Linked DNA regions of Sus scrofa. The protein of the gene in region 1 interacts with the protein of each later gene in a pairwise test. Links are inferred from orthologs where the notes say so. Each region holds a gene or a part of one and is shown on either strand. Other genes may lie near its edges. The genes, in order: PFDN5 and PFDN2.

What was found.
Region 2: the proteins of PFDN5 (region 1) and PFDN2 interact in binary tests that used the Homo sapiens proteins (3 or more experiments, as listed by UniProt). The link is inferred for Sus scrofa from reciprocal best matches to the Homo sapiens genes PFDN5 and PFDN2.

What each region holds. Positions count from the first base shown.
Region 1 is NC_010447.5:18,511,070-18,515,604, forward strand, and holds the start of PFDN5 (prefoldin subunit 5), read left to right. Parts: upstream 1-1,567; 5' UTR 1,568-1,649; coding exon 1,650-1,721; intron 1,722-1,927; coding exon 1,928-2,030; intron 2,031-2,335; coding exon 2,336-2,367; intron 2,368-3,869; coding exon 3,870-3,944; intron 3,945-4,060; coding exon 4,061-4,166; intron 4,167-4,535. UniProt on the Homo sapiens protein: Binds specifically to cytosolic chaperonin (c-CPN) and transfers target proteins to it. Binds to nascent polypeptide chain and promotes folding in an environment in which there are many competing pathways for nonnative proteins.
Region 2 is NC_010446.5:89,325,262-89,329,653, forward strand, and holds the start of PFDN2 (prefoldin subunit 2), read left to right. Parts: upstream 1-1,519; 5' UTR 1,520-1,578; coding exon 1,579-1,653; exon of another isoform or gene 1,654-1,796; intron 1,797-4,392. Other genes in the region: NIT1 (nitrilase homolog 1), read right to left, coding at 1-99, 209-463, 720-818, 1,388-1,440. UniProt on the Homo sapiens protein: Binds specifically to cytosolic chaperonin (c-CPN) and transfers target proteins to it. Binds to nascent polypeptide chain and promotes folding in an environment in which there are many competing pathways for nonnative proteins.

The DNA.
Region 1 (4,535 bases):
ACTAGTATCCATAAGGACACAGGGTGGATCCCTGGCCTTGCTCAGTGGGTTAAGGATCAGTGTTGCTGTTGAGTCGCAATGTAGCTTGCAGGTGTGGCTCAGCTGTGGCTACAGCTTTTCCATTATGCTGCAAGTGCGGACCTAAAAAAAAAGACAAAAAAAAAAAGAGCGAGAGAGAGTCTTGGCCAGGTACTCTGATGTCTATCCTGTGTTCCTGCCCTCCAGAATCTGGGGAGTGACACTAGCTGTAATGCCTCAGTTGTCCTGTCCCCTTTCTAACTGGATGCTAGAGGCTGCTGTTCTCCCCACATACAACTGTTAAAGCTGTCAGTGCTATACACTTTAGCAGTATTCCTCACTTCTAGCACATGGTAACACTATTGAGTAACAAACCTGTTGCTGTGTTTGTTGGTTGATGAGGTACCTCCTTTGTGTTCTCTCCACCCACTCATCTCCACTCCATCTCTAGTCCCGCTTCATCTGCCCAAAGCCTCCTTTTACGACCAGAGAACTTAACAAGCTTCTTCCTTCCTTGCCAGTTGTCACTAGGGTTTATATCACCCACATGGTTTACTTTTTTTTTTTTTTGGTCTTTTTGGGGGCGCACCCGCAGCATTTGGAGGTTCCCAGGCTAAGGGTCAAATTGGAGCTGTAGCTGCGGACCACAGCCACAGTAACGTGGGATCCCAGCCGCGTCTGAGACCTACACCACAGCTCACAGGCAATGCTGGATCTTTAACCCGCTGAGCGAGACCAGGGAGCGAACCAGCGTCCTCATAGATGCTAGCCAGACTCGTTTCTGCTGAGCCACGACGGGAACTCTTTTTAAGATTCTTAAATTCAGGAGTTCCCGTCGTGGCGCAGTGGTTAACGAATCCGACTAGGAACCGTGAGGTTGCGGGTTCGGTCCCTGCCCTTGCTCAGTGGGTTAACGATCCGGCGTTGCCGTGAGCTGTGGTGTAGGTTGCAGACGCGGCTCGGATCCCGCGTTGCTGTGGCTCTGGCGTAGGCCGGTGGCTACAGCTCCGATTCAACCCCTAGCCTGGGAACCTCCATGTGCCGCGGGGAGCGGCCCAAGAAATAGCAACAACAACAACAATAACAACAACAACAACAACAAAAAGACAAAAAAAAAAAAGATTCTTAAATTCACAGGAATCCTGTTTGCTGCAACTTGTCGACGCTAGGCTTGGGATGTTTTGTGTAATGAAAGCGCTCCTGGGAGTTCCTATCGTGGCTCAGCGATAAGGAACCGGACTAGTATCCATGAGGTTGCGGGCTCGATCCCAGTCCTTATTTAAGTGGGTTAAGAATCGGCCGTTGCAGTGAGCTGTGGTGTAGGTCGCAGACACAGCTCGGATCCCGCGCTGCTGTGGCTTAAGCCGGTAGCTGCAGTTCCAGTTCGACCCCCAGCTTACGAACCTCCATATGCCTCCAGTTCGGTCTTTAAAAAAGAAAGCGCCGCTGTCTCTTCCACTCCAACGCAAGTAAATCACAGAGAAGACCCAGCTCTTCCTCCGCTCCCGGACGGAAGACCATAGAGATGTCGGGGGCAGCGAGGCCTCCCGGCGTAGCCATCGAGAGGCGCAGAGGACGGCTAGAGCGTTGCTCACCCGGCGGCTTCCGCTTCGTTAGTCCTCCTTCCCAACATGGCGCAGTCGGTTAACATTACCGAGCTGAATCTGCCGCAGCTGGAAATGCTCAAGAACCAGCTGGACCAGGTGGGAATAGGCCCCCAAAGACACCCCTTTCCACCTCACTTCCTTCCCGCCACGCGTACTCCCTCGCTCCCCATTCTTCCCCAGCCGAGGGAGGAGGTTTCCCTTCCCAGGCAAAACCCCGACTCGGTCCCAGCACCCGCCCCTTCCCGGCGGTGCCCTCCTCTCCCACCAGCCCCCGTACTAACCCTCATTCCTCTTCTCTCTAGGAAGTGGAGTTCTTGTCCACGTCCATTGCCCAGCTCAAGGTGGTACAGACCAAGTATGTGGAAGCCAAGGACTGTCTGAACGTGCTGAACAAGAGCAACGAGGGTATGCGGTAGGCGCGTGAAGGCAAGCTGGGGGTTGGGGCGAGCCGGCTTTTCCTCTCTCTTCCTTATCCAGTTGTCCTTATCTGAGACGAGAGAACGGTCCTTTACGTATTGCATACTGCTGCAGGAGCCCTTTGCATGTTGCCTTGGTAGACTTGAAATGTACAGGACATTCTTCTCCTGTTGCCCCTATTTCCATACTTATCGCACAGTCTCTGGGCGCTGTGCGGTGCTGAAACTCCCTTGAACGTGTAAAGGCTGGAGAAGTCCACCTTCCCTACATGTCTGTCTTAATTGCTTTCACAGGGAAAGAATTACTCGTCCCACTGACGAGTTCTGTATCCTTTCTGCAGGAACTGTTTCCCCGCCCACTCCTTTTCTCCTTCACCCCCTACCCTGCAAAAAAGGGCAGAGGTTCTAATTGCTCCAGAGATTCTGAGAATACTCAGTACACACTTCGTAGCTCTGCTATCTCATTGGAGCCAACATCCAGCTAATGTTTGGTGAGCACCAAGGTGTATGTAGAATTGAGGTGTGATTTTTTTCCTTCGCTGTTTGAGGATATAATCTAATAGGGAGATAAAACTGGTGGTTTACACTTTTGACTTGTTTTTTGGGTTCTTTTGCCTCACCCGCAGCATGTGGAAGTTCCGGGGCCAGGGATTGAATCTGAGCCACCTCAGAGACAACACTGGGTCTTTAACCTGCTGCACCGCAGCAGGAGCTCCCTACCCTTTTTACTAATAACTTAGAAAACAGAAGCAGTGGAAGAAGAGAGGATATAGAGACAAGGGGGTTGGCTCTGTTTATTAATCTTCAATTTTAGTTTAATTGTGGATCTTATTTCTAATCCGTTGTTACTGAGAAGCCTGGATTGTGTCTATCTGTTGAGTGTTTTACTTGAATGAGCCAATTGTGTTAACAGGGCACCTATAAACTGCACCTGAGAATTGATAGGCTGAAAAAGAAACACAGGAATAGCCGCATAGTAGGGACTGCTTAGATAAGGAACATTAAATCTATTGGGAATGACCTACTTCATGGTTGGGAGTGTTAAAGGAGAAATGAGGCTGGCTTTTCACTTTTACTATTTAACAGCATCAGGAAAAATCATTCCAGGAGTTCCCATTGTGGCGCAGCAGAAACAATCCACTACTAACCCTGGCCTCCCTCGCTGGGTTGGGGATCTGGTGTTGCCGTGAGCTGTGGTGTAGGCTGGCAGCTGCAGCTCCGAATCAACCCCTAGCCTAGGATCTTCCATATGCTGCAGGTGTGGCCCTAAAAAGAAAAAAGAAACACTGCATCTAGTCTTTATGGAGTTCCCATCATGACTCAGTGGTTGATGAATCCGACTAGGAACCATGAGGTTGCGGATTTGATCCCTGGCCTTGCTCAGTGGGTTAAGGATTCGGCGTGGCCGTGAGCTGTGGTGTAGGTTGCAGACCCGGCTCGGATCCCGCGTTGCTGTGGCTCTGGCATAGGCCGGTGGCTACAGCTCCGATTTGACCCCTAGCCTGGGAACCTCCATATGCCGCGGGTGCAGCCCTAAAAAAGACAATAAAAAAAGCCATCTAGTCTTTCTGGAAGGGCTAATGGGAAGAACTCTAAGAACTTCTTGGAGGGTGGCAGTGAGATCAGGGCAAGATCAGCATGTGTAATTTTCTCCATAAGGAACCAACTTCCCTGTGTCTCCCCTTTGGAGTGTGTAGGCCTCCAGATTATCTGATCCCGGTACCTTTTAAGTTTTTAGAAAAAGGGGTTCTTAGGAGGTCAAGCAGATGAGCCGACAGGAAATCAGGACTCATGCTGGGCTAGTTTTCCCTTAATCCTCGCTTCTCAGATGTACGTCCCTGGGAAGTTGCATGATGTGGAACATGTGCTCATCGATGTGGGAACTGGCTACTATGTAGAGAAGGTGAGTGGAAGGAAGCGTATGGATGCCCCGCTGAGGAGGCAGAGGGAGTTTAGGGAGAGATCCAGAGTGCACAAAGAGGTCTCCTCTTAGCCCCTCCTTCACCTCTGACCTTCCAGACAGCTGAAGATGCCAAGGACTTCTTCAAGAGGAAGATAGACTTCCTCACCAAGCAAATGGAGAAAATCCAGCCAGCTCTGCAGGAGAAGCATGCCATGAAACAGGGTAAGCTTGGCCTTGGGCACCTCTTCACCATTTCTACCTCCATAATAATCAAGAACATGAATTGCAGCGTGAACCATGGCGGGTGTCCCCTTTGTTGGATTAAAACCATGGTTTTCTCTTTGGTGTCTTGATGTATTATTCTTTAGATGCTGTGCATCACATATCCGCTATTTCTAGATTCCTGGGTTCAGTGCTTGAGAAATTTAGAGAAAGGAAATCCCATCTGTGTTTTTGTGTTTGAGATCCTATTTAATGTAGATGGAATAGGGAAAAAGATGCATGTAAATGAACACACAGGAAAGAAATAAAGCCCTAACTAGCTATCTACTGGCAAGTAAAGCTTTGGCTGTACCTGGAGAATTTAAAAAG
Region 2 (4,392 bases), on another chromosome or scaffold:
TTGTTCAGAATCACATGACAATTGTAGATTTTCTGAGTCTGCTCCCAGTCTTGGCCACGCTCATGGAAACCACCCAAGGACAGCCAGAGTCCACATTCCCTGAGGGGGAGGGGACACTGACAACTCTTCTCAAGTCTCTACCCTCATATCTGGCAATTCCGATATTACCCAAAAAGAAACTACCTCTCCCTCCCCCTTTCCCTGATACCTGGCAAGCTGGGTATATTCTCCCAAAAGTTTCCCACCCAGTGGCTCAGACAGGCGTAGCGTCTCTTCAGGGTCCCTTCCAATGAAGTCAAATGCCTCAGGCAGGAAAGCCAGGCAAGCGCCCAGTCTGGCAGCCTCTCGAACCAGCTCAGCACATGTTTTAAAGTTCTGCTGCTTGTCCGGTGTGGATGTTACCTGGCACACAGCCACGAGGGGCAAGTCCCAGGAGGAAGAGGAAATAGCCATGGATCTGGGTCTGTGAATGGCACAGGCAAGACTCAGATTTCCTAGAGTGGGGAAGCCCGAGTTTAATGATAAGGGGCTTAAAGGGGGAGGCAGGAAAGCTAGACTTCCCTTTAAACCTGCTCTTACAAGGCACAATGATCCATGCAATAAGGACCCACTGATCAAATGTTCTGTGAGTGGCTGGCACCCCAATGTTTCCCAACATCTATTCATTTATTGAGCATCTACTATGTGCCAGGCACTGAGGACACAACAAAACATGTTACCTGGGCTGAGCACAAAGTATTGAGAGTCGAAGTATCCGGAGCCGAGGACCCAAAAGAAGGGACAGGAGCTGGTGAGGAGGCCTGATGATGAAGCCCAGCCTGAAGAAGGTGAGAAATCAGGACACCAACCCCACCATCAAGCAATACATTTCTAAGATCCTTTGGTTTCTCTCTTCATACTGTGAGGCTGAATCTGGGCACCACCGGTAAAAACCCCTAAGTCTTTAAGACACTCGTTAACTATGGTTAATCACGGCTACCGGAAGAGAGCACAAAGTGGGAAAATCGAGGAAAGGGCTCTGCGCAGCATTCGAATATCTCGACTTCCAGTGATCTCACATTAAACTGAAGTCCTTTTTCTCAGCCAAACGTTTCCGCAGTTCAAAAGTCATCCTCGAGATATTTCCTTGATTTTCCCAGCCTCTCTTATTGACTGTGCACCTGCACAGTTTTACTGACTCAAAGCATATTTTCCCCCTTCCACCAGAATCTCTGAGAAGTTCACCCTACCCCACCCCGCCGCCCGTGCCTCACCACCCGCTGTGTGGGCAGAGGGCACTGGCACCCAGATCCCAACCCGCGCCCCGCTCTCCAGTTAACCCATCTGGAGACTCTCTCAGGGGCAGCGTCTCTGTTGCACAAGATAAAGCACCACAGGTGTAATTCACCGCGGCGGGCGGGCTAGGTAGCAGGTCCTACATGAAGGCACGGCCAAAACCATTAACAGGATCCGAACCGAACAGGGGCCTGGAAGAAGAGGAGCCTGGCGCCGGGGGCGAGTGGGCGGTAACTCCGAGACCGGACGTGACGCAAGGCGGGGGCCGAGCTGCGCAGGCCGGAAGCTCAGCAGGCGGTGAAGATGGCGGAGAGCAGCAGTCGCGCCGGCAAGAGCAGCGGGAGCGGCGCGGGGAAGGGGGCGGTGTCAGCCGAGCAGGTGAGGAGCTGGGAATGCGAAGGAGGGCAACCCGGCCGGGTCCGGAGTCGATGCGAGAAGAGGGGAGAAGCCTATGGTTGGTGTACGCCTTTACTATAGTCGCACATTTGCGTGGCCACCCAGAGAGGGGAAGGTCCTTGTAGAAGCTAGCCGAGCCCTTGGGGAGAGATAGGCGGATTGGTAGGTGAAAGCCACGCCCCCTTGGGGGTGTTGGGTGAGCCGAGGGGTGGGAGGGAGGAAGCTCTAGGGAAGCAGAGTCTGGGAGGTTGCACAGGTCTGAGGGAAGAAGGGTGGTCACTTTCCCCACTTTGCCTCCGCACTCTCAAACAGGCTGTGGGTGAGCAAGGCCAGTTCATAAGGAATCCCAGGGAGTTAGTCAACGGGTTGATTGTGTAGTCTGTTACGTGACCCTGAAACCACGTTTAAAACCGTCGTCACTCCGCAGAGCCACGTGACTCACATACGCGAATAGTCTAGTGTTCCATACTATTTTGATTCGGGAGTCATTATTGCACTGAATTTATTTAGAGACCAGAAATCCTTTACTAATCCGAGCTTACATTTCCCCAGTGCCTAGCATCCGGAAACGATTGAAAAATAATCAGAAAGCCCTTTGTTGCTTGGGAATCATGATTTACTAATAGTGGATCTAGTGTTTACTTGGAGTGGGAAGAAATCTGCGTAACAGAAAGGAAAACGTAGTTAAAACAACAGCTTTTTTGGTTATAGGTTCATTTATCAGTTATTTGTTAAACAGTTACTGTAGCAGAGGTATCTGCATAAAGATTTTAAAAATTGACCCGTGCAATCAGAGTTCATAGTCTGGAGGGGAAAATGCTAGTATGAGGTAGAAGAGAGATATACAGCCCTATGGGATTTGGGGGAAGGGGGAAGAGAAAATTCCTCTTAGGGGGAAAAAGGCAAGGGAGAAGGAACCTAATACTTTTTGAGGGTCTGCCGTGTGTTAGACATTCTGCTGGGTATGGGGAAACATAAATGAAATACGGCCTTGTAACCTTGTTTTCAGGTTAGCTCACAGACTCATTTGCAAAAAGAAACCAAACATTAAGCTTTACAGTGTTCTTCACAGGGCTTTTTCTTCTTTTTTAAAATTATAGTTGATTTACAATGTTTTACCAGTTTCTGCTGCACAGCAAAGTGACTCAGTGGTACCTATAGGTACATTCTTTTTAAAAATATTATTTTCCATCATGGTCTATCCCAGGAGATTGCATATATCCATTCTAAATGTAATAGTTTGCATATACTAACCCCAAGCTGCCAGTCTATCCCACTCCCTCCCCTCTCCCCCTTGGCAACCACAGGTCTGTTCTCTGTGTCCTCACTGGGCCTTCTGCTAGAGGAGGGACCCCTAACTAACTAAGCAGGAGATTGAGATTGGGGATTGGGTGGTAAAGGGAAGTGTGGAAAAGTGGGGTGGCTAAGAGTGTAAGGAGTGCAATGGGTTCAGACAGATCTGTGTTTGAATTACATTTCTACCTTTCACTGTTACTTTCAGATTAGAGAATTATGAGTTTATGGATAGTGGACAAAGCCATGGTTGTGGAGGAAATCCTCTAGAGTTTGCACAGAAAGTGAACAAAGAAGTAGAATAAGAGTGAAATCAATAGTTAAGTGATGGTAGAGAAAAAGAAACTCAAAAGAGACTGAAGAATTTTGATAATTGAGTTCTGAGGCCATTCCTTGCTTAATATTCTCTGACCTTTTTGTTCCAGAGAGAACACTGGGTAAAAAAAAATATTATAATTGTCACTGCTGCAAATTTGAGCCACATAGGCAAGATGGAAGCAAATAACACATCAAACTAGGCACTTGTTTTATCTTCTGTTATTTAATTACTGCTATTTGAAGTAGCTGTATTATTGTCAGGATGAGTTTCAGACTTAATTAACTTACTCAGAGTCAGTAACTGGGAGAGCAGGGCTTTTAAATGCAGAACTTGTGAATTAGACAGGCCTATTTTTTCTATTTGTACCATGATCATATTAGAGATATTTGAGCTGAGCCTGAAGGATTGGATAGATTGGAACAGGTGGCAGTAGAAATAGAATATAGAGAATCAAGAAAGGAGGGGAGATCTGGGAAAGCATAGATTGAGATGGAGTGCAGTGACTGATTTGTTTTGCTAAATCATGAGTCAGAAAGATGTCCTTAAAACAAGCTGAGTCATTGCATGACAAAGAATTTAGGACTTTTTAACATAAGCAGTGAGGGTGTCATAGAATGATACATGTTATACTGTTGATTTTTTTTTTTTTTTGTCTGTTTGTTTGCCTTTTAGGGCTGCACCCTTGGCATATGGAAGTTCCCAGGCTAGGGGTCAAATTGGAGTTAAAGCTGTTGGTCCTACACCACAGCCACAGCCATGTCAATGCTGGGTCCCCAACCTGCTGAACAAGGCAGGGATGGAACCCATATCCTCATGAATATTAGTCAGATTTGTTTCCACTGCACCACAGCAGGAACTACTGATTTTTTTCTTATTATGTAAAATAATACACGTTAATGTAGAAAATGTAGAAAACACAAGAAAAATTACAAAATAAGAAATAAATTATCCATGATCCTACTATCCAGAAATAACTATCCTTACCATTTTTGAATGTATTTTTTTTTTTTTTTCTTCCCATTTTTAGCTGTCCTGAAGCACATGGAGCTCCCGGGCCAGGGATCAGATCTGAGCCCCAGTCTAGACCTCAGCTGAAGCTGTGGCAGTGC